Linked DNA regions of Elephas maximus indicus. The protein of the gene in region 3 purifies or fractionates together with the protein of the main gene of each other region. This does not show direct contact. Links are inferred from orthologs where the notes say so. Each region holds a gene or a part of one and is shown on either strand. Other genes may lie near its edges.

Region 1 (7,959 bases), on a different chromosome or scaffold from region 3:
ATCATTTCAGATTATTATGAAAAATTGTACTCTAACAAATTTGAAAACCTAGAAGAAATGGATGAATTCCTTGAAAAACACTACCTACCTAAACTAACACATTCAGAAGCAGAACAACTAAATAGACCCATAACAAAAAAAGAGATTGAAACGGTAATCAAAAAACTCCCAACAAAAAAAAGTCCTGGCCCGGACGGCTTCACTGCAGAGTTCTACCAAATTTTCAGAGAAGAGTTAACACCACTACTACTAAAGGTATTCCAAAGCATAGAAAATGACGGAATACTACCCAACTCATTCTATGAAGCCACCATCTCCCTGATACCAAAACCAGGTAAAGACATTACAAAAAAAGAAAATTATAGACCTATATCCCTCATGAACATTGATGCAAAAATCCTCAACAAAATTCTAGCCAATAGAATCCAACAACACATCAAAAAAATAATTCACCCTGATCAAGTGGGATTTATACCAGGTATGCAAGGCTGGTTTAATATCAGAAAAACCATTAATGTAATCCATCACATAAATAAAACAAAAGACAAAAACCACATGATCTTATCAATTGATGCAGAAAAGGCATTTGACAAAGTCCAACACCCATTTATGATAAAAACTCTTACCAAAATAGGAATTGAAGGAAAATTCCTCAACATAATAAAGGGCATCTATGCAAAGCCAACAGCCAATATCACTCTAAATGGAGAGAACCTGAAAGCATTTCCCTTGAGAACGGGAACCAGACAAGGATGCCCTTTATCACCGCTCTTATTCAACATCGTGTTGGAAGTCTTAGCCAGGGCAATCAGGCTAGACAAAGAAATAAAAGGTATCCGGATTGGCAAGGAAGAAGTAAAGTTATCACTATTTGCAGATGACATGATTATATACACAGAAAACCCTAAGGAATCCTCCAGAAAACTACTGAAACTAATAGAAGAGTTTGGCAGAGTCTCAGGTTATAAAATAAACATACAAAAATCACTTGGATTCCTCTACATCAACAAAAAGAACACCGAAGAGGAAATAACCAAATCAATACCATTCACGGTAGCCCCCAAGAAGATAAGATACTTAGGAATAAATCTTACCAAGGATGTAAAAGACCTATACAAAGAAAACTACAAAGCTCTACTACAAGAAATTCAAAAGGACATACTTAAGTGGAAAAACATACCTTGCTCATGGATAGGAAGACTTAACATAGTAAAAATGTCTATTCTACCAAAAGCCATCTATACATTTAACGCACTTCCGATCCAAATTCCAATGTCATATTTTAAGGGGATAGAGAAACAAATCACCAATTTCATATGGAAGGGAAAGAAGCCCCGGATAAGCAAAGCACTACTGAAAAAGAAGAAGAAAGTGGGAGGCCTCACCTTACCTGACTTCAGAACCTATTATACAGCCACAGTAGTCAAAACAGCCTGGTATTGGTACAACAACAGACACATAGACCAATGGAACAGAATTGAGAACCCAGACATAGATCCATCCACGTATGAGCAGCTGATATTTGACAAAGGACCAGTGTCAATTAACTGGGGAAAAGACAGCCTTTTTAACAAATGGTGCTGGCATAACTGGATATCCATTTGCAAAAAAATGAAACAGGACCCATACCTCACACCATGCACAAAAACTAACTCCAAGTGGATCAAAGACCTAAACATAAAGACTAAAACGATAAAGATCATGGAAGAAAAAACTGGGACAACCCTAGGAGCCCTAATACATGGTATAAACAGAATACAAAACATTACCAAAAATGATGAAGAGAAACCCGATAACTGGGAGCTCCTAAAAATCAAACACCTATGCTCATCTAAAGACTTCACCAAAAGAGTAAAAAGACCACCTACAGATTGGGAAAGAATTTTCAGCTATGACATCTCCGACCAGCGCCTGATCTCTAAAATCTACATGATTCTGTCAAAACTCAACCACAAAAAGACAAACAACCCAATCAAGAAGTGGGCAAAGGATATGAACACACATTTCTCTAAAGAAGATATTCAGGCAGCCAACAGATACATGAGAAAATGCTCTCGATCATTAGCCATTAGAGAAATGCAAATTAAAACTATGATGAGATTCCATCTCACACCAGCAAGGCTGGCATTAATCCAAAAAACACAAAATAATAAATGTTGGAGAGGCTGCGGAGAGATTGGAACTCTCATACACTGCTGGTGGGAATGTAAAATGGTACAACCACTTTGGAAATCTATCTGGCGTTATCTTAAACAGTTAGAAATAGAACTACCATACAACCCAGAAATCCCACTCCTCGGAATATACCCTAGAGATACAAGAGCCTTCATACAAACAGATATATGCACACCCATGTTTATTGCAGCTCTGTTTACAATAGCAAAAAGTTGGAAGCAACCAAGGTGTCCATCAACGGATGAATGGGTAAATAAATTGTGGTATATTCACACAATGGAATACTACGCATCGATAAAGAACAGTGACGAATCTCTGAAACATTTCATAACATGGAGGAACCTGGAAGGCATTATGCTGAGCGAAATGAGTCAGAGGCAAAAGGACAAATACTGTATAAGACCACTATTATAAGATCTTGAGAAATAGTAAACCTGAGAAGAACACATACTTTTGTGGTTACGAGGGGGGGAGGGAGGGAGGGTGGGAGAGGGTTTTTTTATTGATTAATCAGTAGATAAGAACTGCTTTAGGTGAAGGGAAAGACAACACTCAATACATGGAAGGTCAGCTCAATTGGACTGGACCAAAAGCAAAGAAGTTTCCGGGATAAAATGAATGCTTCAAAGCTCAGCGGAGCAAGCGCGGGGGTCTGGGGAACATGGTTTGCGGGGACTTCTAAGTCAATTGGCAAAATAATTCTATTATGAAATCATTCTGCATCCCACTTTGAAATGTGGCGTCTGGGGTCTTAAATGCTAACAAGCAGCCATCTAAGATGCAGCAATTGGTCTCAACCCACCTGGAGCAAAGGAAAATGAAGAACACCAAGCCCACATGACAACTAAGAGCCCAAGAGACAGAAAGGGCCACATGAACCAGAGACCTACATCATCCTGAGACCAGAAGAACTAGTTGGTGCCCGGCCACAATCGATGACTGCCCTGACAGGGAGCTCAGCAGAGGACCCCTGAGGGAGCAGGAGAGCAGTGGGATGCAGACCCCAAATTCTCATATGAAGACCAAACTTAATGGTCTGACTGAGACTGGAGGAATCCCGGCGGTCATGCTCTCCAGACCTTCTGTTGACACAGGACAGGAACCATCCCCGAAGACAACTCATCAGACATGAAAGGGACTGGTCAGCGGGTGGGAGAGAGACGCTGATGAAGAGTGAGCTAATTATATCAGGTGTACACTTGAGATTGTGTTGGCAACTCTTGTCTGGAGGGGGGATGGGAGGATAGAGAGAGAGGGAAGCCGGCAAAATGGTCAAGAAAGGAGAGACTGAAAGGGCTGACTCAAGACGGGGAGAGTAAGTGGGAGTAGGGAGTGAGATGTATGTAAACTTATATGTGACAGACTGATTGGATTTGTAAACGTTCACTTGAAGCTTAATAAAAGTTATTATAAAAAAAAAAAAAAAAAAAAAAAAAGACAGGGTGGGGAAGGTCGAGTTCTGGCACTCAATTATCCTCTCATTAGAAAATTATCACATATTAATTTACGTAGCACCATGTCAGGCATCAGTCCATAGTCAGACTTTTTTTTTTTTTTTTTTAAGATAATCACGCTACTTCAAACCTTATTGGCAGGACTGACCTTATCAGAGGACTTCAGGGCAAGCCCCGCTTCCCTAGGTAATGGTTCCCTCCTGGTCTTAGCTGGAGGTAAGGATGGAGCAAGTAATGGGAAAGGGTCTTACTCATTTGAACTAATGGAATCCTTGGATTGCGGTGGTGTCCACTTTGGGGAGACACTCCACTTTAGCACATGCCAGGCACCATCCCAGGCACTGGGGACATGACAAGGAATGAGACACCTAAGAACCCTGTGTCCATGGACCAGGGAACACACAGAACCAGGGGGGATACAAAAAATAAACATAAAACTGTAACAGGTGCTGTAGGGTAACCAAAACCAGGGGATGTGATCAGGCGGGACCTACTCTGGATGCTGTGGTCAAGAAGTGTCACCCTAAGGAGGCCACATTTGAGTCTGGAGCTGACAGAGGGTGACATACCAGCTTTGTGACAGCGGGTGCTCTGTGAAGGTCTGAAAGGGTCTCCAACTTGGCTTGTCCTAGGACAGTGGTTCTCAAAAGGGGACGGTTTTGTCCGCAGGGGACATCTAGTATTCCTGGAGACATTTATGGCTGCCACAAGTGGGGCTGGGGCAGAGGAGGTGGTACTGGCACCTAGCGGGTCGGGACAGTGATGCTGCCAAACGTCCTACAACGCACAAGACAGTCCCCACCACAAACAACTATGGGGCCCAACATGTCACTAGTGCTGAGGTTGATAAACCTTGACCTAGGACATCCTGGGGCACAGCGGGAAGGGGGCCAGCCCCGGGAAATCAGCCTGGAGGGCAGGCAGAGCTTCGAGGCCGTTGCAGGCGTCAGGGTCCTAGGGGTCCACTGGCAGCCTGTAAGGGCTTGCAAGAGCGGGGTATCAGGCTCCGACTTCGTTTGAAAAACACCCACCGAGGGGACGTCACGGCCGCGGCCTCACTTCCGCCCCCTCCGGAAGCAGCGCCGCGGCCTCTCCAGGCTTCCGGGGCGGAACCGGAAGTTCCCGACCGGCTGAGCGACGGCGAGCCCGCCCACTGGGAGGGCGCCCGAGAGGTCTCGCGAGAAGGGCGGTGGCTGTGGGCTCGCGGAGGCCCGGCCGGCGGCGGCGAAGATGGCGGGCTCCGGCGAGCGGACGCCGCTGCTGGGCTCGGGGAGCCACGGCGCGCGGCGGGCGTCGTCGGCGTTCGCGGGCCGGCGCGCGGCGTGCGGCGCCGTGCTGCTGACGGAGCTGCTGGAGCGCGCGGCCTTCTACGGCGTCACGGCCAACCTGGTGCTGTTCCTGAACGGCGCGCCGTTCTCCTGGGAGGGCGCGCAGGCCAGCCAGGCGCTGCTGCTCTTCATGGGCGTCACCTACCTGGTGTCGCCGTTCGGCGGCTGGCTGGCCGACGCGCTGCTCGGCAAGGCGGGCGCCATCGTGCTCAGCCTGGCGCTCTACCTGCTGGGCATGCTGGCCTTCCCGCTGGTGGCCGCGCCCTCCACGCGCGCCGCGCTCTGCGGGCCCCTGCGGGCCGCGCTGCTGGAGAACTGCTCGGCGCCCGTCCGCAACGCCAGCGCCGCCTGCCACGACAGCCCCGAGCGCCGCTGCGCCGCCGCCACCTTCGCGGGGCTGGTGCTGGTGGGCCTGGGCGTGGGCACCGTCAAGGCCAACATCACGCCCTTCGGCGCCGACCAGGTGAGCCGGCGCGCGCCCCGCCGGCCCGGCCCTGCCCACCGGGCAGCAAGCGCTGCGCCAGCCCCCGAGGGCCGCCCAACCCCGACGGCTGCCCAGTGCCAGCCCCCGAGGGCCGCCCAACCCCGACGGCTGCCCTGTGCCAGCCCCCGAGGGTCGCCCAACCCCGACGGCTGCCCAGTGCCAGCCCCCGAGGGTCGCCCAACCCCGACGACTGCCCTGTGCCAGCCCCCGAGGGCCGCCCAACCCCGACGGCTGCCCTGTGCCAGCCCCCGAGGACCGCCCAACCCCGACGACTGCCCTGTGCCAGCCCCCGAGGGCCGCCCAACCCCGACGGCTGCCCTGTGCCAGCTCCTGCGGGTGGCAAACCCCGACAGCTGCCCTGTGCCAGCCCCCGCCGGTCGCCCAACCCCGACGGCTGCCCAGTGCCAGCCCCCACTGGTCACCCCACCCCGACGGTTGCCCAGTGCCAGCCCCCACTGGTCGCCATACCCCGACGGCTGCCCAGTGCCAGCCCCCGCGGGTCGTCCAACCCCGACGGGTGCCCTGTGCCAGCCCCCGAGGGCCGCCCAACCCCGACGGCTGCCCTGTGCCAGCTCCTGCGGGTGGCAAACCCCGACAGCTGCCCTGTGCCAGCCCCCGCCGGTCGCCCAACCCCGACGGCTGCCCAGTGCCAGCCCCCACTGGTCACCCCACCCCGACGGTTGCCCAGTGCCAGCCCCCACTGGTCGCCATACCCCGACGGCTGCCCAGTGCCAGCCCCCGCGGGTCGCCCAACCCCGACGGGTGCCCTGTGCCAGTCCCCGAGGGTCGCCAAAACCCGAAGGCTGCCCTGTGCCAGCCCCCGAGGGTCGCCAAAACCCGAAGGCTGCTCTTAATAGGCAGAACAAGACAGTGTCCTCTGCTCTCATGCAGCTGCTTTCTAGTGAGAAACAAGGGAACAAGTAAGTGGAAAAGCAGTAACGACTGGTTGTGATAGGTGCTGGGAAGCAGCCAACCTAGGGTGATGTACAGGAATTGATGGATTTAAATGAAGGACTGGCCACTATGGAGGGGGCTTTTGAGTTGGGACCGGAGGGATTCCGAACTGGGGAATCAGCAAGTGCAAAGTACCTGGGGCCAGGAAGAGAAGGGAGGTCCCAGTTTTTGCTGCTCTCGGTTTTAAGATAACTGGAAAGAGGATTGTTAGGCAGGGGTCAGAATATGTAAGGTGGGATAAAGAGTCAAGTGTTTTGTGTATTGTAGGAAGCCTTTATAGGGTCGAACTGTTCCTAAGAGTTTGGCTAAGTGTAGAGCCGGTAGGGAAACTAGCCGGTGGGCCCGGGCCAAATCTGTTTTACTTCCTGTTTTTGTAGGGCCCACAAGCTGAGAGCGGTTCTTATGTTGTTAAGTGGGAAAAAGAATCACAAGAGTATTTCATAACAAGCTAATATTACATGAAATGTGCCTTCCGAACTCCATTAGTTGTATTGGAACACAGCCTTTCCCATCCCTGTTTTGTTAAATGTTTTTACTGTGGGTGCCTTCAAATACGGTAGCAGAATTGACAGACCTTAAAATAATTCTATTTGACCCTTTACAGAAAAGTTTGCCAGCGTCCGTTGTACATTTGTATGGAAAATGATGACAGCAGGGATACCAGGTAGGAGTCTGTTAAAACTGGCCAGGTGAGAGAGAGAGAGACTTGGACTTAGAATGGAGGCAGTGGACATGGAGTGAAGTAGATGGATTTGGGATCATTTACCGAGGTAGGATGGGCAGGAATTGCTCTTGGATTCTATGTGCGTAGTAGGGAAAGAGGCATCAGAGGTGACTCCTCGTTTTTTGTACTAAGTGCATCAGAGGTGACTCCTCGTTTTTTGTACTAAGTAACTATGTTGTTACCTGGCCCTAGATAACATTTACTGCGGGCTCACTGAGTACCAGGCACTGTGCTGCGTGCTTTATTATTAGTCTACATAACACCTTGATTGTTGCGTTATTGTGCCCATTTTACAGATGAGGAAACTGAGGCTTGAGAGGTTAAGTAACGTGCCTAAAGTTACACAGCTAGTAGGTGACTGAGCCAGTATTCAAAACCTGACCTTTGAATCAGATCCCAAGCTTTATGGAAACTTTGGGAGGCTCTCCCAGCCACACAGCAGAGAGAAGCCTTACAGTGACGATGAGAGTAACACTTGCCTGATGTATTGAATTCTTAACTGTTTTCCTGCAGCATGGCACATGTTTTACACACTTGATTTCATTCGCACTTCACGTGAATCTTTATGTCCATTTTATAGATGGGGAAACAGGCAAAGAGTGAGATCATTGTCACATAGCTAGCGAGTGGTCAAGCCAGGGGTTTAATTCCGGGTCTGATTACTTAGTCTGCACTGTAACCAGCCCACCAGGATGGAGTGGATTTCTGTGCATCCTGTGATGGGACGGCATAGGTGTGGTTGGGTCAGAGTATTCATCTCGAAGCCTCGGGTGCCATCGACACACACCAGCAGCAATGGCACAGCGCTGTTAGCTCGGTCCTTCTCCGTCTCTTAGACAC
Region 2 (8,032 bases), about 44 Mb from region 3:
TGTTACTAAAGAGATGGGTAGCAGTGTGGTGAAAACAGTAACAGTGGAAGCTGAAGGCTCTGACTACTCGAATGTTAATGCCCCCTTTAATAGTTGGGGCAGCAGCCAAAAGGGCTGAAGTATCTATCAAGTTAGCTAGCCATCAACTGCCCTACTACATTCTTTCCTCTAGTGAATTCTTGAAACTTCAGGTTCCTGAAGAAGTAGCTGGGAAAGGTGGTGGCATGTTATGCTCTCGGGCTTCTTTCTGGACTTAAGCTGTATTGTACTTATTGTCCTTGTTTTATATTGACTTTTATTATATAATTAGTATATTTTATTGACTATATGATTTATTTATTATACAATTAATTGAATACCAAGACTGAGAGCTCCGTTAGGGCAGGAATGATGTTTTGTTCATCATTGCATTCCTCTTTCCTGGCATAAAAGGGACAGTCAAATATATATTGAACAAATGCATTATTCTTTCAACCTCATCAGAGTATGAGATTTTCCTGGTGCTTTAACTTGTAGAACTCTTTGCCTTCCTTATTCTACAATATTATAAATCCTCTACAAAGCAGTGTCTTTTACATATTTACTATCTTTCAGTTGTTTGTCGCAAAGTTGATTATATATTTACCATTGATAGCATTTTATAAAAGCCTGTTTTCATAGACAATAGTTGGTCTCCAAACTAATTGACACATTCATTTAATTATTTCAATAACTGCCATGCAGTAAGGCAAAATTTAGAATTTGTGGTCATTTTATTATTTTTAAACTAATGTTTACCGTCCTAGTATGAGAGAGAAAAAAATGTCTATTGAATATAGTAAATAAGGAAAATGTATATACATTTTCTAGTTGAGAAAGAGGGTCAGTATACTTTTCAGGCCCCAGCTAAAAGCAGTAACTCTAAATTTAAGTAGTAAACTCAGTGTTTTCTTCTAAAATATTTACAGCAGTCTCTAACACAGAGATATTCAGAGTGTAGTATGGCAGACGTTGCAGGCCCATGAACTATTTATTACCTGTTTCTGAGGAGATAAGTTCAGAAATGGGGAGTTTTTAGAAACGTGCATAGCAGTTTTATGGAGCAATTTCATGTCTGTTTAATAATAAAAATATATATATACCACATTTTGTTTATTATCCATTTGTGGTTAGTTTTTTAACTTGTATTTAGTTCCTGGCCAGTGGTTAACAATTATTCGATAAGGATATCCATCCTAAATATTTTAAAGTAATAATTCACTACATTAAAAGCAACTACCTAGAAGTAATTTCTTCCTTCTTTACTATTTCTTTAAAAACACCATTACAGGCAGTCCCTGGATTACTAACAACATCTGTACCTAAATCTATCTAAGTCAAATATGTACCTAAGTCAGAACAGTTAATAGTATCCAACGTCAGTCAGATGTTTGTCTTAGTATATAGTGTACCTTTCTACGCATAAAAAAAAAATTAAAGAAACACTTCCAGATACACTAAAACATCTTTAACATAAAAATACAGTAATAATAACAATGTTTGATGCGTGTTGAAAAGTAGTGCCCATTTGTTATTACGAACCGTTGTACATACCTTGGATTTTCAGTATAACAGGCCTTCTGGGGGTTGGCCTGTAACTACGGGTTGTAGGTAAATTGGATGTTCGTAATCCAGGGACTGCCTGTAGTAACAAATACTGTGGGCATGCAAGTCTTAATTGGTTATAATTTCAGAGGTTTCCGCTAGTATGGCTAGATCTCGATAGTGAATGAGCTTTGAATGGTGTCTTTAAACTACAGGCATTGGATTGAGTTTAGGAGAGGTCTTTATTATTTTCAGTCTGTTCCCAACTCAGAATTATTTGCTCTTTCCTTAGTATTCCTGTTGAACTTTTTCTATGTATGTCTCTCTCATAAGGTACTTACGTAAATTCTCATCGTGTGTGTGTGTGTGTGTGTGTGTGTGTGATAGTAATATCCGTGGAAATTCGGTGAAAAAGTATAAACAGATAAGATGAAATAAGGCTGCATTTTGTATGCTCGTGGAATGTGTTCTACTTTATACTTTTCCAGTTTTTTATTAATATACTAGTACCTTTGATAAAGCTTTAATTCCGTTTTTTAAAAAAGAATACTGTTGACTTTATTACTAAAACCTTAACATCATGTATACAGGATACTCTCGAGGATGACATTCGGTACATCTCAAGCATTCAAAATACATGCGGTTTTTAATTCCAGGAATTTCAACTACTGTCCATTTATTATAGAAGTTTTCTTGCACCATGGATCCATTTTTAGCATTAATGGTTATTAGGTCTTTTTTAAGACTGATTTTAGCTATGAAATCGTGTGGCTCTAGATTATTTGTATAGGTTTAAATTGCATGATGCAGTTTGCAGTTTCTGAAAACCAAGAGAAAATACATACGACTTGCTTTAAATGTGGCAGTGATTTTTCGTGCTATAGTATAACTGTGTTACAATCTGATAGAGAATGTTTATGTTCAAAATTTCGCACTGACTTTCCCTTAGTTGTTTCAGTCCTTTCACGAAATCTAACTTGTCTTTTTCCTGTTTTAATAAATTGGTTGAATAAGACAAAATGCTGGTTACCATAAGTTATGAGCTGTGATTAAAAATATATAATTGGTTAATGTAGCATAGTAGGTCGTACTTTCAAAATACTACCCAAAATAGACCCGTTCTTCTGAAAAATGGACATACTAACTTTTTTTTTAACAAACATATTAGAGTCACAAATTATTTCACTGAAACTAGTTGGTAAAACCAATATAATATTTATAATATTTGGCCTAATGTATAATAAAAAATAATTTTTTTTTATAAAACACTGAGTAATACCATTTGTAAATGCCCCCTTTGTCCTCATCTGCTCTTATATCTTACTACTTAAAAATAATTTTTTTTACTGTAAAATTTCAACTCTGTCCCCACTCATTTTAAACAGCATTCAAGATTAGACTCCAAGTACAAGAAAAACATTTATGCAACCCCCCAAATTTCATATAAAATGGAATTTGACTCTTAAGTGATTTATTTTATTCTCAAATCTAAAAATCTTTAGGTATTTGGACTCAAGTTCATTGTATTTTTTCCCAGTGTTTTGTTATGAAAAATTTCAAATGTATAGAAAACTTGGAAAAATTGTATAGTGAACACCCATATCTTCACTCCTAGATTCTGTAGTTAATATTTTGCTGCATTTGCCTTATCACATACCATCAATCCATCTAAACACTTCAATATCCATATCATTAATGTATAATATATAATGCATAATTATTTTGAGATTCATGTATGTTGTTGAATGTATCAGTCATTTGTCGCTGTTTGTTGTTGAGTAATATTCCATTGTGTGACTATACTACAGGTTTTTTAATCTATCTTATCGATGGATACCTGGGCTGTTTCCAGTTTGGAGCTGTTATGAATACAGCTACTATAAACATACTTGTTCAAAAATTTTTATGAACTTATTTTAACTTTTATTAATAAGTTTCACTGTCGCCTTTTTATTACTGAGTTGTACGATTCTTTATTTTTTTGTATATTCTAAGTACAAGTCCTTTGTCAAGTATGTGTTCATTTTCATAATGGTGTCAGTTCACTGTATTTTTTCAACACTGTATAACAAAAATTTTTAAACATACAGAAAGTTGAAAGACTTTTACAGTGAACATCCATATACCCACCATCCAGATTCTACCATAAATGTCTTATTTTAATTGTCCTGTCATGTATCTATCCATCTGTCTATCCTGTTTTTATGTATTTTAAGGTAAATTGCAGATATCAGTTCACTTTTCCCAAATACTTCAAAAAATATGTTCATTAGAATTCAGTATTTGTTTGCAGCTATTTTTATTTTGAGGTAAAATTTTCATACAATGAAATGCACACGTTTTAAGTGGACATTGGCTATTTTGACAAATATATACACCTGTGGAAACCTAAATCCTATCAAGATATAAAACATTATCATCACTGCAGAAAGTTATTTCATGTCCCTTCCCAGCTAATCTCCGCCTGCATCCCCCTAGCTGACCCACTGCTATCAAGCTGATTCTTTCTCATGGCAACCCTGTGTATTTCAGAGTAGAACTCTCAGCTGAAGCAGATCATCAGGCCTCTAGTCCATGGCATAGCTGGGTGGGTTTGAACTGCCAACCTTTAGGTTAGCAGTCAAGCTCAAACCACTTGTACCACCCAGGGGCCCTTCCATCCCTCTAGAGGCCATCTGGTGGCTCAGTGGTTAAGAGCTCAGCTGCTAACCAAAAAGTCAGCAGTTTGAACACGCTAGCAGCTCCTTAAAAACCCTATGGGGCAGTTCTACTCTGTCCATTAGGGCTGCCATGAGGTGGAATCGACTCGACAGCAATGGGCTTTTTAAGGAGTAGAAGCAACCAAAGGAGCTTTGGTGACACAGTGGTTAAGTGGTCAGCTGCTAATCAAAAGGTTGCTAGTTCAAACCCATCAGGAGAAAGGACTTGGTGATCTGCCCCCGTGAAGATTCCAGCCTAGGAAACCCTATGGGGCAGTTCTACTCTGTACTATAGCGTTGCTATGAGTCGGAACTGACTTGACAGCGCACAACAACAACAACAGGAAACCACCGTCCTGGTTTTCTTTTGTTTTTTTTGCACTATCAGTTTAGCCCATTCTAGAACCTCATTCATATCAATGGGATAATATATATAATACATTATGTACTCTTTTGTTTAAGGCATCTTTCAGTTACCATAATGTTTTTGAGGTTCATCCATGTTGCATGAAACATTAGTTTATTCCTTTTTATCCTGGAGTTGTATTTCTTTTTTTGGTCAATATTATTTCCAATTTTTAATGTGCATAAACATATTAAAAAAACCATTGCCATCAAGTTGATTTCAACTCATAGTGACATATACACAACATATTTTAAAAATGGGCTTTACAGCATATATGGTTTTATTACCTAGTTTATTGTGAACAGTTTCCCTTCTACAACGGATAAAATACTTGGCTTGTGTGGACAAAATATAAATTACCAATCTTGTTGGGGAAATTTACATACAGTTTTTTCCTTAGGACGCTTCATTCTCTTTATAATACCTTGAGGAAAAAGGGGCATGTCTTACAGAGCTTGTCTTATATCACTTTCTATAGAAGATGGAAACTTGCCCTTTAATTTAGCGTTTTAACTTGCTTCTCTAGCTACCTAATCAATCGAGTAATCAGTCTTATTTTTCCCACTCTTCTTTGTCTATTGTTTGCTCTCTCTTTTCCACCCTCTTTCCCTGGTACACACGTATTTCTATTACGCCAGCACTCATTCCCCCTCCCTCCCATTAAAGATGCTTTCTTTCCTGTTCCAAAGATACTCTTTATTGATTCTGACTGACCTCAAAACTTTATCATCAGTTCCATCTTAAGATTATCTAAAGATAGAGTTCATATGTTTAAAAGAAAACATTGATATGAACCTCTTTTTAGAGTTAGATGTATCAAGGAACAGGATTTGGACAGAATGTAGATATGGCCAACTTTTTTGAAAATGCAGCTTTTTGGGAGGGAGAGCAAAGCAGAGGATAGAAGTAGTTGGCACATTAAGGAAGTGTTAGGGATCCATTATTTAAGTGTATTCATCATTTCAAGGCAACTAGCAAGTGATCATCTGTCAGTTAACAACATTAGAGCAGCAGCCTTTACTGGCCATGAAATTTCCATGAGACCTAAACTTGTATTTCCAGGAAAAGGCAAATGTTTAGTAGTAGAACTGTGTAGAAAGGCAGATGCCAACTAGCATAAGAGTGGTGCATGCAGATGACATTAATTCTGGAGTCCTGGAAGCCATGAGGTGCTCATCTATCACATGATTATCACAACCAGGTAAAAATGTCTGAGCAAAGCACTGAAGCCAGTCATGCCAGCATTTACACATGGAACACTTCTTGGGCAGGCAGGTGTCATGGGGCGCACACCTACAATTCACTTTGCAAAAATCATGCTCACAGTTCATCCGTAGAAGTAAGGAATGCAAGCGCAAAAGAATCCCAGGGTCCAGGTTCCCCTGTTCAGACAGCAGGTCTTGTTCAGCTCTTTGCTGTCCTGGATTCCCGTGAATGACAAACTTGAACGACTGATGACGTATTGCAGGCTCCTCTTGGAACCAAGTGTTAGTATTTCTCTGTGGTGGATGTATGAGTTCATGGTGGCCCAACCCAGCAACCAATCCCAGTTCACGTGCTTTGAAAATGGTCACGATCAAAATCACACTGGAAGAGAAGCCCTCTGTCTTCAGCAGTCTGTAGCTGGTAACAGTTTAGGGATAAAAATGTTAGCATGGCTTTGACACAGTCATTGGCCAAAGCACCCAAAGGAAAACAATTTCCTGCAGTAAAAGTTGGAATTTAAAAAGAAAAAATATCCCAAATAAGAAATATGCTTTCCCCAGAAGGAGTCAGGATGTCCAAGTAAAGTGAGGTACTTGTCCCATTGTCCTGCACCTATCCTGGGTGCTGTTTCTGTATATGAGTGTATTACGATTTGCTTACTCATTCTACTGCAGATGCTCACCTGGGATATTTACAGGTTTTGGATATTATAAATAAACTGTGAACATTTTAGTACATGTCTTTTTTTGTGGACATATGTTTTCATTTTGGGGAGTAAATACCTAGGGGCGGAATTGCTGGATTGGGGAGCCCTGGTGGCTCAGTGAGTAAGAGCTTAGCTGCTAATCAAGGGGTTGGCAGTTCAAATCCACCAGCCACACTTTGGAAACCCTATGGGGCAGTTCTGCTGTGTCCTGTAGGGTCGCTATGAGTTGGAATTGACAAGACTGCAAAGGGTTTAGCTTTTTTTGAATGGGGACTGCCAGACCCATTTCCAAAGTGGCTGAGACCAAGTTACACCTTCATTGACAATGTCTGAGAGTTCCTGTTGTGCATCTTCACCAAATTTGGTGGTGGTGTCTTTATTTTAGCCACCTTGGTGGGTGTGTAGTGGTATCTCCTTGTGTTATTTCTTTGTACTTGACTATTTCTTACATCCCCTCTATTTACCACTCTCCATACACACACACACACACACACATACACACGCTGTCCAACTTTACTAGCTTTCCCCCAACTTTTTTTTATACTGCTTTAACTTTGCCTTCAATTGTTTTTGCACCTGTACTTTTGTCTACAGTTCACCCTGAGAGAGAACTGTTATAAAATTGCTGGTACCAAATTTGTGGTACCAAAGCATCAAGTGGATAAATAAGTTACCCTATCTTAGGTTAACAAGAATTCATGTTTCCTACCTCAAATTTTTTTTTTTTTTACGTCAGTGGCTTTAGAGGAAGACAAACCTAGTTTTAAAGCCTGGCTTTAACTTTTTGGTTTTGTATTTGGAGGATTTTTGTTTAGGGGGAGGAAGACAAGATAACATTGGTACTTAGGCTTATACACACAAGTTGTATACAGTTTTATAAACACAGGTCATTGTTTCTGGCCATTGACTGTAGAAGATCAGCTACAGTTCAGCTCTTTTTCTAAAATAAACATAAAAGGCAAGATCCAGCTGAAAACATCCAATTATACTAAAGTATTAATGGATTTGGAACCCAGAATATAACACTGAAATCTTTGACAGCTTGCTGGCTACTTTAAGTTCCTCTCAATAAATTAGTAGCTACCTGAGTTGTAAGTGTGGTTGTAAATATGCTCCTGATTTAGTTTCTTTCAAAGATAAAAATAGTTACAAAGACTTCTCAGGTGATAAACTTTTTTTTCTTTCCTGTATGGTGGTGGTGTTAGGTGCCATCAAGTTGGTTCCAACTCATAGTGATCCCACACACAACAGAAAGAAACACTGCCTGGTCCTGTACCATCCTCATAATCGTTACTCATTGTTGCAGCCACTGGTCCAGTCCGTCTCATTGTCTTCATCTTTTTTGCTGACCTTCTGCTTTACCAAGCATGTTGTCCTCCAGGGAATGGTCCCTCCTGATAACATGTCCAAAGTAAGCAAGATGAAGTCTCATGGCCCTCACTTTGAAGGAGC
Region 3 (7,643 bases):
TAGCTCCGTGTAGCTTTAGAACGAGGAATTTAAACACGAGTCAGAATGTAGACCATTTTAATCGGCTGTTAATTAGTAGCTTTTCCCTTTAATAACTAGTAGCTACCCACTGCATTATGCTATTCTAGGCCCACCTAGCAATTAATCCAGTTATGTCTGGGTTCCCAGGAACACTTGTGAAGCTTCTGCTCAGTTTTAGAGCAGACCTTTACACAAGCTGTAGTGGAAGATCATAAACATATTTCCTCAGAATCCCAGGGCACTGCACCACCCTACTCCCTAAAGAACACAGGAGAGGCAGTCTACTTCCTGCTCTTGCAGAAACTCAGAGTGGGGCTTGAGGAAAGTCTATTTTCCAAAGCTGAATTCCATGATGCTGAGTTGGGATAAAGGAGACCAGTCCTCTCCTTGGATTTTGTCCTCATCATAGTTTCTCAGCATCAAGGGAGGTAAAGTTACTTTGTGCTTCCCAGTTACTGATTTTTTCCCCTATGGAAAAGCTGAACAGCAATCAAGACAGAACATATGATACTTAGTCAACAGCAAACTGTAAGTATACAGCAAGCACTGTTCTGGCAGTCTCTTCAGTTACCCAGTTGGAGTTTTATAAGAAGAACCAGTTTAGGCAACAGACACAAAGAGCTACACAGCTGCCCTCTGCAGAAGCTGTGTCCCAAGCCATCTCAGGAAAGAAAGGCTATGTTTTAGATCAGTCACCAAGAGGCTCAGATACATAAATTTACAAGCCTCTTGATACTAGGGTCAACACAAGATTGTCAAGTTATACTGTATAAATACACTTCTCTGTAGCAGTTAAGATTCAGAGTCTGGCTAATAAGGGTTCTAGGTTAAGAGTTCAGGCTACTAACCAAAAGGTCAGCAGTTCAAATCCACCAGCTGCTCTTTGGAAACCCTATGGGGCAGTTCTACTCTGTCCTATAGGGTCTCTATGAGTCGGAATCGACTCGACGACAATGGGTTTGGATTTGGCTTTTAAGTAAACCTAAATTATAGGTAAGACCAACATGAGTCACTTGACCTCGCTAGCAATAGATCAAAAGTTTTTAAGAAGCACCTATGCGTATGTGGGAACCCTGGTGGCGTAGTGGTTAAGTGCTACGGCTGCTAACCAAGAGGTCGGCAGTTCAAATCCTCCAGGCGCTCCTTAGAAACTCTACGGGGCAGTTCTACTCTGTCCTATAGGGTCGCTATGAGTCGGAATCGACTCGACGGCAGTGGGTGTGTTAGGTGTATGTGTGGCACAGCAAGCTACCCCTCAACAAACAGATTCATCTATTCTGCTTGAAAATGACTAGCTTTAGGGGTCAATCAGTCAGGCCAAACTTCCCTCTTCTGCTACTTACGTAACTTAGTGAGGCAACCTTCTAACACTTCTGAGCTATAAACATGCAAGGACCACCATCAAACTTCCCTCCAGGGTATGGAATAAATGCTGGATGTAAATGTAAACTCTAAACTCTAAATTTAGGAAGCAGCTCCAACCCCCCCCCCCCCCAAAGAACACAAATGAGGCCCAACCATCAAAGAAATCAAAGACCCCACTCTAAGGAATCAAAATTGATGTCTGAAAAGAACACAGTTTTTGTGGGAAATTAAATTATTAGTAAGCTATAACTTTCATGGGAACAAACCATTTCCTAATACAGAGAGATAAACTTTATAATCTTGAGGCAAACAAATCAGAATATTGGAAGTTGGTGAAGATTTTCTCTGATGCTCTGTGGCTAATTTTTATCTCTATCATTTTCTAAAAATTAAGTGACTCTGCCTTCCATTTCTTTCCCAGAATTCTAGAAACAGACCAGATCACTGAGGCCCAACTGTCCTCATTGTCCAGCAATCCAACTTCCAAGAGTCACTTTACAAATATTCCACAGTATCTGGAATAGGAATCTTTAAAGGGCTGGGCTGAAGCCTAAGACACAGCCTCAATCTATGTGTGCCTGACTCCCCGGCATTTAATTCCTACTCCCAGAGCGGAAGCATTTTAGTGTGAGCAACTGATAATTCAGAATAAACCCTCAAACCTATTTTAAAAGTCCCCTAGCTAGGGCTCTGCGCACTCAGACCAACATGTTGCCACACCCCACATATCCTCAGCACAGATCTGAATTCTTACAGCCCAAATTAACCCTTCTGGGTAGGAATGAGTCACTTGATTTGCAAAAGTTTAGGGCTCCCGGACTTTGCCAAACTGGACACATGCGCTCTCAGGCCTTGGGACAGCAGCGTTTTCTGTGGGGTCAGCATTCTGACAGCAAGCTGCAGCCCCTGCCTCCACGTTGCTGGACCCGTTAAAAGAACTCATTTCGCGCCCACAGCAAGATCTGCAGATGAAAGTTCGGCAGACACACAGAAGTAGCCCGGGGCAGGCAAGTCATGAGTCCCAAGAGTCGCCTTATAGAGTCCTCGGGGTGCCGGGAAAAGGGGACCTGGCTCCTAATGCCAAGCTAGCGAGGGTTGCTTGGTTTGATAACCCCTCGCAGTTCGACCTAGCCGATTGACCTGTGTCTTATCAAGCACTAGGATTTACTCCACGTCCATAAAGCAATGCTGGCAGAGGCAGCGGAGGGAGGGCAGGGTGGTTAAATCCTCCGAGGCGCCACAGAGAGTGCTCCGTGCCGCCCGCCGGACGTCCGCAGACACACCTGCCCGCTGCGTAGTGGATCTTTGTAAGTCGTTGCTAACTTTCCCCGAGTCTCAGACCCTGGAAAATCTAAGGTCATGGACCCCTCCCCAAAGGCGGTGCCCACCGGACCGCACAGGCTGGCAGAGCAAGGTGCGTCCCGCCGTCCGTGCCCAGGCCGCCGCGGTCGCCCAGGCTTGGGCCGAGCGCTCCAGAGAGGGGCCGCGCCCCTTCCCGGCCCGAGCCGGCCTGACAGGCACCCGCACCCCGCGCCCCCTCCGCTCACCCCGCCTCGGAGTCCGCTGGCTGCCTCGCTCGCTCCCGGGGCTCCTGGCCGGGCTGCGGCTCCACGCCTCAAATAGGCCGGCCCTGCCCCGCCTCGCCCGGGGCGGGGCGCCGGCCCTGCGCGCCCTGCCTCTCCCTGGGCACCAGGCTGGGCGAGGCCCGAACCCCTTCCGGGACCCGGGCGGCCGCCCCGCCGGTGCAAAAGACTCAGTCCTGTGAGGGAGTGGGGGCCGGCCAGTGGGACCCTGAAGGGCGGCGTCCCCTCGTCCCCCGCCCCAGCAGTCCCGAGATGTGAGTGTGACCACGTTCATTTTCCTCTCTCCAGACTCACTCCCACAGCTTCAAAGAGGATTGGGAGAGCTTACTGAGCTTTTAGTGTGAGCTTGTTGCTTGCTTTATTTAACCTTGTGCATTTTCTGCCTGAATAGCAAGCAGTCTCATCCCTTCTCCACTTCACTTTACTGAAACCACCTGTCAGCATCAAAGCACACTGATTTGAGTTCGATACGGAAATCCCTGTCAGAAAGTTCCTGCCGCGCAAGGTGAACCTGTCCCGCGTTCTAGGCCTTGCGTTCATTCTCCTTTCTGACCTCAGACCCGTAAAACTGTGATGTGGGCACACACGGTCCAGACTGAGCTCCCCGAATTGTTTTTGCTCTTTGCTCCCCAGTACATTCTCAGCGTCTAGTTCAGCCTCTGGGGCTAGAAGGATCTCAGTAAATTTTTGCTTAATGAATGAATGAACAAGCGAATGGATGAATCACTTCTTAGCAAGGCTGAATATCTGTTTTCTCAAAGATTGGAGAGAGTTCTGCTGGAAGACATAACAGTTAAATACAAAAATTACCTTTGGTAAAGGCGGAGATAGGACATTGCTATGGTTATATGAAAGGAGCCCTGGTGGCGCAGTGGTTAAAGCGCTGAGCTGCTTACCAGATCGGTGGTTGGAACCCACCAGCTGCTCCCACAGGAGAAAGATGTGGCAGTCTGCTTCCACTAAGATTTACAGCCTGGGAAACCCGTGGGGTCGTTCTGCTCTGTCCTGTAGGGTGGCTATGACTTGTATCCTACTCAATGGTAACCAGTTTAGTTTTGGTCTTTTCCTATGGCTGGCTGTATGAAAGGTTGTTAGAGTAAATGGCTATGCTTGCAAAGAGAGGTGGTATTTGTTTAGTAGCATTTAACTGGGTAATAACCAAGTAAAATGGTTAAGGATGTCAAGGTGGATTTTTTAAAAGTTCAGATAATAATCATAATAGCTAATATTCATTGAGCACTTATGTGCCTTGCATTACACTTAGTAGTGCTTTACGTACACATATGAAAAAAAATATGAGGTAGGTATTATTTTCATACCCATTTTACAGATGACACAACTGAGGCACAGAGTATTAGGTAAGACCAAGATCACAACATACATCAAGTTGAAAGTATATCAGACAAAAACCAAACCAAACCTGCTGCCATCCAGTTGATTCCAACTCATGCCAACCCCAATGTGTTCCAGAGTAGAACCGCTCCATAGGGTTTTCTTGACTATAATCTTTATGGAAGCATATTGCCAGGCCTTTCTTGCACTGATTAGCAGCTGATCATAAACCACTTATACCACCCAGGCTCCTTGAAAGTGTGTCAGGGTCTAAGAAATAAGCCTTTGGAAATGGAATATTCGCTACTCAACAGACTGAGGTAAAAAAAAAAAAAAAAAAGAAAATACTCATCATCACTACAACAAAAAATGCCAACAACAATCCACCAAAAGTTAATAGATTTAGTAGGAGCTGAGAAAGTCATTCAGCAATGGAAAGAATATTTGACCACAAGGTAGAATTATCTTTGAGATGAGGAAGGAGCAGGGTTGCCCTTTTGACCCCTTTGTCTCTCGTACTTTCTGTGTGATGTTTCAATTCCAGATAACACAGTCTCCTATCTCAAACTGGGATTCCGAGTCTGGCTGATAGCATATGTGAGAAAGCCTCTGGATCTGTTTGATCTGACATGTCTGGGAGCTTTTGGATCTTTGGCTAGACAAGGAAGGGCTTTTGGTGCAACGGAATGGAGTAAGGACAAAGAATCAAGAGGAGATGACATAACAATCTCAGTCCTACATGCCTCGTTTGCTGGGTTGGTGTCCCAGGGAGAAAGGATGGGGCCAGAAACTGATGGTGCTGTCTTTATAGAAGCTTTTTTTTTTTTTGAGAGAAGCTGCATCAGGGCCCAGGTGACAAAATACAGCCCTCAGGTGTGGGGCAGCTGTTCTTCCCCTTCTCCACATAGCCCAGGACTGCACTGGCTGTCAACAAATTTCTAGAGCTGCCTCCTGGGGCAGACATTTGTGTTCTCGCTCTGGAAGGCCTCTGGAAGTGCCAATGTGAAACTCCTTCATGTAGGTAGTGGACATCACCCAAGGGGCAGGAGAGCAGGAGAGCAGGGACACAGCAGATGTCCCTGGTTTGTTAGCACTAGCGAGAGTGCTCTTAGGCCAGTGGGGTGGGGGCTGCACTGAGCAGGAGAGGAGCTATGGGAGGGGTCCTGCTCATGCAAAAACAAGACTATGGGAAGCTTATAGCCTCTGGCCTGGCTAGAACTGGCCTACTGGTGGTTGTGATGTAACTTTGTGCTATAGCTATGCATGTCCTGCTTTGGGCAATGGATTCACTCAGTAAACCAAAATGGAAGTGTAATACAATCTCACTGATAGAACGTGATTGAAGGGTAGAGATTAATGAAAAGTCTGACTTAAAATGTACAAAACATAATCATTTTGTTACTCTAAAAATAATAAGGTAAATTAATATTTTTAAAAAGTGATTCACAGTGGGCTGCAATGTTCCTATGAACTTAGAAATTATGCTAGCTGACCTGAGTAACCTGGTTACTTGGGATCTTATGATGTTAGAGAACAAAGTATACATGATATATAAAGCTGTATTGCAAATGGTTAACATGCTCAGCTGCTAACCAAAAGGTTGGAGGTTCGAGTCCACTCAGAGACACCTTGGATTTCTTCCTGGTGATCTACTTCTGAAAAATCCATCATCAAAAGTGCTATGGAGTACAGTTCTACTCTGAAACACATGGAGCTTCCATGAGTCAGAATTGACTAGACAGCAACTGGTTTTGTTTTTTTGGCACTAAGGGAAAATTAGAGAAGGAAGCAAACATTTTAATTTAGAGTTTAACTCTGACCTTCCTTCCTGTTGCTGTCCCCCTTACTCACTCCACCTTGGCCACACCAGCCCTCTAGGCTGTTTATCTAGTACACCAGGCACAACGCACACTCCTGTCTTAGCATCTTGCACTGGCTGTCCCCTTTATCAGGAACTCTCTTCTCCTGTTGTTTCCTAACTCTCTCACCTACTTCAAGTCTTTGCTCAAATATCACGTTCTCCATGAGGTCTACTCTTTCCACCCCTTATAAAACTGCAGCAGGCACCTCCACCCAGTTGGACTTTACCCCTCCCTGTGGCTGAACAGTACTTCACTGTACTTACTTAGGACGTTTATTGTTTTTTTTTATTGGTTTCCCACCTGCCTCTGCTTTTACTTCCTCTCCTGAGGGCAAAACTCTTTGCTGAATTGTTTACTGATGAATCCAAGGTACATACAGCAGGCTCGCAATAAATATTTGTTAGGACATTTATGGTGTGAGCACTGGAGGAAAATCCTGTGGGTTGTTCACTTTTATTATTTTCAATACTCTTCCCTCTACTTATCTATTTGATGCCCTTTAAAAATGATCAAAATTTGAAAGAGTGAAAAATTCAATTAATAGGTGGTTTTGTTGGGAGCCCTGGTGGAACAGTGGTTAAGAGCTTGGCTGCTAACCAAAATGTTGATGGTTCTAATCCATCAGCCACTCCCTGGAAGCCCTGTGGGGCAGTTCTGCTGTGTCCTATATGGTTGCTTGCTATGAGTCGGAATTGACTTGACGCCAACGGGTTTTGGGTTTTTTTTTGTTTGCAAAAAAAAAAAAAATCCTACCTTCTCAATATCCATTTCCTGAAGAATTGACTAAAAATTTACCACTTTTTTTGGATAAATAGACCTAGTCTCAAAGCAATTCCATTAGGAAGCAATTATTAATCAACTCTTTAATATATTTTACACAGGACATTCAAGTTACTCCATATATACTCTGCTTTTAACCTCACCGTATTATTTTGTACGAGGAAATAGATAAGTTTTTTTTTTTTTTTTACTGTCAGGGAAAGTGATTTACTTATCAAAGTTAATCAATGCCTAGGGAGACAGCCCAGAGGTCCAAAGTTTCACAACTGGTCCAGGAAAACACTGAGCAAAAAATTCTGGTAGGGATTGGTTTATGTCACCCACGGAGAAAACCAGGTATAACCTGATTGCTAAATAATGCATGTGCTACCTAAAGCAACCAAATAATTCATACATTGTGTACAAATAGTTTCATCCTGTTGTCCACCATAGGAGAGAAATGTCTACGTGAAGGACTCACTAGGTGGAATTGTGAAGATGTCTTGGCACCCTCTAGGATAAATTTGTAAGTGCCTTAATGGCCGGTACTTTATTTTTCATCAATGTCCTCTCTGTAGCTTACTTGGTTTAGAGGCTTGCACAGAAATCACTGTGTGCATTGAGGATTAATTATGAAAATACAACATCTTCTCTGAACAGGTTGCCTGGCAACCAATTTACTTGAATGGATCAGCAGCCGTAGTAAAAGGTATTAAAAAGG
Region 4 (7,435 bases), on a different chromosome or scaffold from region 3:
CCTGGCAACCCTGTGTGCACATTCACTGAACATCTAGTCCCGAGGACTCAGGAGAAGGGTCATCCCTCCAAGGCCCGTGCGGAATGGAGGACCCCAAGGCGGTATGTCTGTGACTCAGAGGAGAAGGCCCTAGTGGGCACACATGTCCTCCAGCCGTCCTGCTAGTGTGACTGGAACTTCCACTTCAGAGTGGCGGAGTGCAGCAGGGGCCATGGGCGAATCTGCCTGCGGAGCGGTGACTGTGTCCACTGGCCACCCCAGCGCCCAGCTTGCCCAGCGTGTGGTGCCACACCGCAGAGCTGCTGTTGGAGCTGACAAGGGTCTGTTGAGGGCGTGGGGCTCAGTTGACAACTAACTTCCAAAAGGATGATGACGGCACTGATTGAAGCCCACCACATCTGTTTAAGTCCACCAGCTTATAAGGACATTTAAAAAACCTTTGGAGCATGATAGCAAACCGATTTGCTACCTTGAAAACGGCTCAGTCAGGGAGATGCAGGAGGAGCCTTGGTGGCATGGTGGTTAAGCTCTTGGCTGCTAACTGAAAGGCTGGTAGTTTGAACTTACCAGCCACTCCCTCCACAGGAGAAAGATGTGGCAGTCAGTTTCCGTAAAGATTTACAGCCTTGGAAACCCTATGGGCAGTTCTGCTCTGTTCTGCAGGGTCCCTATGAGTTGGAATCAACAGCACTGGGCAAGGGAGATGCAGCAAGGGTTTACCTGCAGGAAGTGCACCTTCAGTAGCCAAACTCTGGGCAAGGAAGCTGCCCATGGAAAATTACTCCAGTGAGTTAATGGCAGGCAAATGATGCCTTAGGAAACCACTATTTTGCACACCCTGATGAATTGATAAGGAGCCCCTGGTTGTGGAAACAGTTAACAAGCTTGGCTGCTAACTGGGAAGGTTGGCGGTTTGAGTCCACCCAGAGGTGCCTTAGAAGAAAGGTCTGCTGATCTCCTAAAAATCAGCCATTGAAAACCCCGGGAGCATAGCTCTACTCTGACACACATGGGATCATTGTGAGCCAGGGTCAACTCTACATCTTTGGCTGAATCAATAAATCTAGACATGAGCACTAACGGCTGCTAATATCACAAAAAGAGTGGCAACCAGATGTTTGCATCCCATTGAAAGAACACACCACCCCTAAGAGTGTTGTGACAACTGAGCCTGAACCCCATCAGGCTTCTGGCTCCAGGTGCCCGTTCCCAGGAAACAGGCAGGAGGAGTATGCTCTGCTGGCAGGAGCTTGGCATCAGCAAACCCAGAGCGTGGGAGCCTGTATCCAGAGCCTTGGAGGCTCCATCCTGCAACAGATAGATTGTATCCAAATAGGCCCCAGGAGGCTGCAGATACCTTGTAAAGGAGAGGAAGGGTTGAGGGGAGGCTGTAGATAAAGAGATGGAGAAGACATGACATTGAAAAATGGGCAAAACCCCAGCTATGGTGTATATGGGTGTACTCCGGATGGAAAAAAACATAAAGAAATGGAAGGAAGTGGTTGTATGTGTCAGAAGAAGCGTTGCTTTTGGGGGGAGGAGTGGGGCTGGGACTGGGTCTGGGCTCATGCTGGGGTTTCTGGGGGCTGGCAGCTCTTGCTTTTGAGAGACAGTGGTTACAGGGTGTTGATCTTATAATAACTCACTAAACTTAGAAAAACAAGCAGCTCTGCTCCCACCCCAGGTCTCATCTACAATTTGCATGAGCACAACAACTGATTTTTTTTTTTTTTTAAATTGTGGTAGCCATGAGTTGGAAAAGACAGGAACTAACGACAAGTATCTATATAATAAGACATTTGCCATTTGAACATTCTTCACTTGTGCGACTCAGTGACATTCCCCATGCTAGGCAAGCACAGCCACTATTCCTTTCCAGGTTTTTCTATCACCCTTAACAGACACTCAGTGCCCCCGAACAGTACACAGCTGGCTCTTACACCTGAAAGGTTGGAGGACCGAGCACAGTCTTTGGTTGTTGTCAACAGGAAGGTTTTGTACGGCTGAGAAGGTGGACTTCCCTGTTGAGAGCCGGACAAAGCTCTCAACTGCTGCCTTCGTTCCCGAGGGCTGCTGAAACACAAATACCAGGAGTGGGTGGCTCTGAAGGACAAGAATTCATTGTCTCACAGTTCTGGAGGCTAGATGTCCAAACCAGGGCACTGGTTCTAGGGGACAGTCCCTCCTCATCTGCAGTCCTGGGGATGCTTTCACATAGCATCTAACTTCCCCTTGACAGCCTGTCTCTCTGTGTGGCTATTCTGCTCACTTTATAAGGAGCCATTCCGAGGACCTCATTAACGTAACAAAAGAGAACTCTGTTTCCCAACCGGGCCACATGCACACGGAGAGGGATTGGGATTTCAACATGTACTTTGGGGGGACACAATTCATGCTGTTTTTGTTAAAAAAAAAAAAAAAAAGTCAGTTCTGACTCATAGCGACCCTACACACAACAGGATGAAACACTGCCTGGTCCTGAGCCATCCTCACACTCATTGCTGTGTTTTAGACCATTGTCGCAGCCACTGTGTCAATCCATCTCCTTGAGGGTCTTCCTCTTTTTCAATCCATAACACCTGCCAAGTGACCTGTATCTCCTGGGCCTCAGTTTTCTTACCTGTAAAATGAAGGGGTTGGGCCCACGGATGATCTCCTGTGGTTACAACACAACTGGGTGAAGCGGAGACCGGGCCCTGGACCATCCAGGCCAGCCCTGGCCGTCAGTGCTGAGTTCACAGATGCACCTCCCCAGCTCTCCATGTGGCAACCAGGGTAATAAATTCCGCCCCCCAGCACCCACACTCCTTGGTTACCCAGAGCAATGCTCTGATCATGTCAACAAAGCCAGTCTCTCCCTGGGAAGAGCACAGGAAAACAGTTTTATCCTAGGTGTGTGTGTGTGCGGGGGGCTTTCCCACTTCTTCCATCCCTGCTGACCCTGGAGAGGCGGCTGAAGACCACCAGAACCGCCTTCGGCCCCTACCTTCATGACAGACCCTCTTGAGCACCCACTGGCCACTCCTGTCCCTGTCCACACCCAACCCTGCCATGGTGGGAGGTGGAGGGGGAAGGTGGGGGCAAGAGTGTGGATGAACTTCTGCAGCTGGCTGGTGTTGGGGTGTGGGTGAGGGGCGGGGCCAGGGAACTTTCCAGAGCTGCCCAGGCCTCTGGCTTCTGTAACACCTGCTTTCTCCCAGCAGGGACAGAGGGTGGAACTGGCCACCCTAAGGCTATTCTCTTGTCTCTCCTTGGAAATAGGCTTTCTGAGATTGGTGTTTACAGTGCACAGAAAAAGAGGAGCCCTGATTTCCCACAGCCCAGAGGAACTCAGACCCCCAGCCGCCTCCTCAGCCTATAGAAACACACACGCTTTTTTAAATAGGATTAGGCCATTCAGTTTTTGTTTTTCACTTTGTGATATATTGTGGCCATTCTGGCTCACAACACCTAGTTTCTACCTTATGGTTGCAAAACGGTTTTGGGGTGACTCTGTGTGGCTTTAGGTTAACTTTTTAGACCAATTCTTTGTTGGTGGACATGTGGCTGCCCCTAGTCCTTTGTGTTATTCCTTAGGGGACCCACCAGGCTGGTGAAGACAGGAGCCACACCTGAGTCCCCCGGCTGAGCATCCCTTGCCTTCTCTAATGAAGGCCCTGATCATTCCCAGGGTGTCAGGTCCACAGCCTGGGGGTGTCTGCGCCTATCTGGCATGGGCTGCCCCAGACAGTGCCCTGGTCAAGTAACAGCCCAGGACTTGGTGCCGGCTTATGTTCCCTGTGAACAAGTGTTCAGGCGCTCCTCTCCCCTCTCCTTCGCTGGCCCGTTGGACCGTGGGTGAGGACGGGGGTTACTGCCCCGCGGGGTGGGCCTCGGATAGTGCGGGAACGCGGCGCCCTCTGCACAGGGGTGGGAAGTGTGTGTGTGTGTGGGGGGTGGGTGATGCCTCCTGCGGGGTGAGTGACAACGCAGGGGGAGGGGGACTGCCCTGACGAGAGGGGGACGGGCAGTGCAGGAAAGGGGGCACTGTGGGGTCGACTCCCCGCAGCGGGGCCAGGCTGGGATGGGGGGTCCCGCTCGCGCAGGCCTGGGGGCCGGGAGGCTCAGCGCGGCCGGGGAAACTTTCCTGGGGACGCAGGGCTGGCGGTGGGCAGGTGCGTCACCTGGACCCGGGCGGGGTCGGTTGGTCCGGGCGGGGGCGGGGTCTTTCCGGGATCTGTCCGGAGCGGGAGGCGGGGCCGGCCTGCGGGCGGGGTCGACCCGGGGGCGGGTCTGGGGGCGGGTCGCCGTCCGGGGCGGGGTCACCGGGGCCCCGGGAGCGGTCGCGCGCGCGGGCCGGCGGACGGGAGCGCAGAGGCGCCGGCGACCGCCATGCCCACCAACTTCACCGTGGTGCCGGTGGAGGCGCGGGCCGACGCGGCGCAGGCCCAGGACGGCGGGGACCAGGCGGCCGGGCAGCCGGAGGCGCAGGGCTGCCCCGAGGGCCGCGCGGGGCCCGAGCCCGACTGCCCGAGCCCCGGCCCGGGTGAGCGCTGGCGGCGGGGGGCGCACCTGCAGACGCAGGCGGGGCGGACCGAGGGGGGCGAGGCGGCGAGGGGCGCTGCGGGGCTGCTGGCTCCCGTCCCTTCACTTCCAGTCTCCCCCCGTCGGTTCTCCTCGCTTCCCCCTGCTCCTCCCCCGTAGTTTCCCTCCACCCGGGACTCCTGAAGGCCCCCCACCTCCCAGCCCTCTCCCCTGCACCCCCTGCCGGCACGGGCCCCCCCAGTAGTGCCCCTCAACGGTTGTGGGCTCCTCCTCTCGCTCCCCTCTGCCGCACCCAGCCTCTGCGCGATGGGCGACCCCCAGGGGCACTTTCTGTGGCACGACTCGGTGTGGGGGAGGGTCTGTGACGCACGTTGGGGGGCAGCTGTAGAGACTCCCCAGGTGAGGGGGCTCTACCGCCCATAAGCACCCCCCCGGTGGGGCGCCGCGGAGACCCTTGCCGGCTCTTCCTGTTTCCTCCCAGGGGGCCTGAGCTCTGTCCTCTGCAGTGAGCAAAGGGCCCGATAAGCGCTGGCTGGAGTCCCATTCCCCATGGCCTGACCTTGGACAGTCTGACCCTCCAGGCTTACACAGAACGACAGCCCCAGGGCAGGGTCGGGTGCAGTGGGCCTCGGGGGCCCATTCCTCCATCCCCCATCCCAGTCTTCCTTTGTTGGTGGGTGGGTCCCTGCACGAGCTGCTTGTTCTCTGTGCTGTTCAGGGTGCTGAGGGCCCTTCCTGGCAGGGTACATGAGCGTGGTAGGTTAGCGTGGGGTGCGTGGAGGAGGGACTTCCAGATAATGAAACGTAGCCACCCTGCATTGCACTGGGGTGCCCAGAGGACACTTGGACACTGCCTGTGTGGCTCCCGGCCCCAGCATGACAGGAAGGGGGCAGGGTCACAGGTGATGGGTCCTTCTGAAGCAGGGGTGCAGGTCGTTGTAGCCTGTGGCCCTCGCAGGCAGAGCCAAGGACACCTGTGGGCAGTTCAGGGAGACTGGGAACGCTGGTGAGAATGCCCCTTTTGGCGTCCCTTCCTGTGGGTGAGGGGTCAGCCCGGCTTTCCTGCACATGAAGGTGGCAGGTGGGACTCTCCCCTCTCCTTGGATGGTCAGGGACAGGCCACCAACAAGAGTGTTTTGCACAGGTAAACTGAGGCAGCAGAGCCAGCACCTTGTCATCTGCTCAGTGGTGCAGCCTGGTTGTGGTTCCTAGAGGAGCCTGGGGGCACCTGTCCAGGCCCAGCCTCCTGCCTGTTGCTCCGCCTTAGGCAGCTGGTTAGCTTGCTACCGGTCTTCAGCTGGAGACTGTTTCCTCCTGCCCGCTCTTCCTCTCTCTGGAGCCACCAAGCTCAGAAGCAGTGCTGGGCCTCAGACGGTGGGCAGCTGGCCAGCTGAGCACTGTGGCCAGGGCGAGGAGGGCTATGACTTCCAAGGGCAGGTTGGTGCCTTGGCCTGTCCTCCCTCTTTCTGAGAGGGTCTGCCTTCTCAGCCTCAGTCTCCTCAGCTCCCACCCAGGATAGGCTGAGGTCCATGTTGTGTGGGGTCCGCATTGCACAGAGGTTCATGGTGAGCATTCGAGGGCCAGTTTCCATACCACCTGACCCAGAAAATCTGGCCGCACTGAAATAGATTCCTGACTCTATTGCGGATCAGCTGAACCCTCTGGGAGCCTGGGTCGCTGGGACCTGGGAGGCCTTCCTCTCAGAGATGTTGTGGGTAAAGTGAGTTTGGGAAACCCTAGCCCAGGGGTCCTCAGAAGCACCTGGGCCACTCACAGCCTCTGGGGTGAGGCCAAGATGCTCCTTCTCACGTGGTGTGGGGAGGATGGGACAGCCAGAGGGGCAGGCGCCCCTGTGAGGCCCACCCCAGGCTGACCAGAGCTTATCGAGGCAGCCCTCGGGTTTGCCCGGACTGGTGGTGGCGTGGCAAGGTCCCTCCACGACCTGGAGCTGGAAGGTACTGGAGTGCCCGTTAGCGGAGCCCTCCCCAGAGCCCTCCCTGTTTTCAGTGCAAGGGTCTCCACGGGAGGCTGCGATCACACACAGTGGGTTCTCCAGCCCTTGCCATGGGGGCCTCAAGGGCACTGTGACTGGGCAGCATGATGCTGGCTGAGCACTAACCTTGAGCTGTCCCTGCCATGGGGTCCTGGCTCTGCATGGCGGGCTGTGCCTGTGACCCCGGGCACCGTGTGTGTGCCTCCTTGAGTGCCTGGGCCTGCCTTGGCGGTTTCCCCTTTCCTCCCAAAGCAGTGGAAATTGATCGGCAGGAAGGGCAAGGCCAAGGTGAATGTTGATTTGTGCATCTTAGCTTACCCCTCAGACGACTCAGGGATGGGCTTTCCCGCCACTCTCCCTGGGGGCCTGGGGCGCCAGTGATGTGCTCTCTGAATGACTGGAGGTTGTCTTTACTGGGGGCTGGGGAGCTGGGTTCCCTTCACCCACCCCGGGCCATCACGCCTTCAGCATTTCTGGTGTGGAAGACTTGTTTTGATGTGAAGAAGTTTCTCATTTCCCCACGAAGGACAGGCTCGTTCTATTTCTGCCTGCTCCCTGATACGTTCTAAGTGTATAAACTGCCTTCAGCAGGTGGACCTGCTTTACAGAAAGGGGGAGGTGAGGAAGACAATTATGTTGCATGTGTGGATGGTTTTGACTTCAGAGCACAGGCTAGCTGACCTGGGTTAGCCTCACTCTTCCTGCACTGTGGTCAGGGTATTCGTCCCCCAGGTCGTGGGGTGGTGCCTGGAGGCCTTGGGCAGTCTTACATGAAACCACACAAGGACTGGGGGGAGGGCCGGCCTGTCCCCTCTGCCCCGCGATCCTTGTGTCTGAAGGTACTGCTTTCCGGCCCAGGCCCACCACTGTTTGGAGGACCCATGCCCCTGGGAGAGGTTTGATGGGCGGCAGTTGCTG

Evidence for each region.
Region 1: the proteins of LGALS3 (region 3) and SLC15A4 purify together in Homo sapiens (affinity purification with mass spectrometry; 3 studies listed by BioGRID and IntAct, counting the BioPlex papers as one, with this or other methods). This does not show direct contact. The link is inferred for Elephas maximus indicus from reciprocal best matches to the Homo sapiens genes LGALS3 and SLC15A4.
Region 2: the proteins of LGALS3 (region 3) and SLC12A6 purify together in Homo sapiens (affinity purification with mass spectrometry; 3 studies listed by BioGRID and IntAct, counting the BioPlex papers as one, with this or other methods). This does not show direct contact. The link is inferred for Elephas maximus indicus from reciprocal best matches to the Homo sapiens genes LGALS3 and SLC12A6.
Region 4: the proteins of LGALS3 (region 3) and SLC12A7 purify together in Homo sapiens (affinity purification with mass spectrometry; 3 studies listed by BioGRID and IntAct, counting the BioPlex papers as one, with this or other methods). This does not show direct contact. The link is inferred for Elephas maximus indicus from reciprocal best matches to the Homo sapiens genes LGALS3 and SLC12A7.

The regions. Positions count from the first base shown.
Region 1 is NC_064840.1:3,144,545-3,152,503, forward strand, and holds the start of SLC15A4 (solute carrier family 15 member 4), read left to right. Parts: upstream 1-4,859; coding exon 4,860-5,420; intron 5,421-7,959. UniProt on the Homo sapiens protein: Proton-coupled amino-acid transporter that mediates the transmembrane transport of L-histidine and some di- and tripeptides from inside the lysosome to the cytosol, and plays a key role in innate immune response.
Region 2 is NC_064828.1:23,953,641-23,961,672, reverse strand, and holds the start of SLC12A6 (solute carrier family 12 member 6), read left to right. Parts: upstream 1-4,943; 5' UTR 4,944-8,032.
Region 3 is NC_064828.1:67,459,288-67,466,930, reverse strand, and holds the start of LGALS3 (galectin-3), read right to left. Parts: upstream 3,019-7,643; 5' UTR 2,934-3,018; intron 1-2,933. UniProt on the Homo sapiens protein: Galactose-specific lectin which binds IgE. May mediate with the alpha-3, beta-1 integrin the stimulation by CSPG4 of endothelial cells migration.
Region 4 is NC_064820.1:1,173,217-1,180,651, reverse strand, and holds the start of SLC12A7 (solute carrier family 12 member 7), read left to right. Parts: upstream 1-4,305; 5' UTR 4,306-4,371; coding exon 4,372-4,525; intron 4,526-7,435. UniProt on the Homo sapiens protein: Mediates electroneutral potassium-chloride cotransport when activated by cell swelling. May mediate K(+) uptake into Deiters' cells in the cochlea and contribute to K(+) recycling in the inner ear.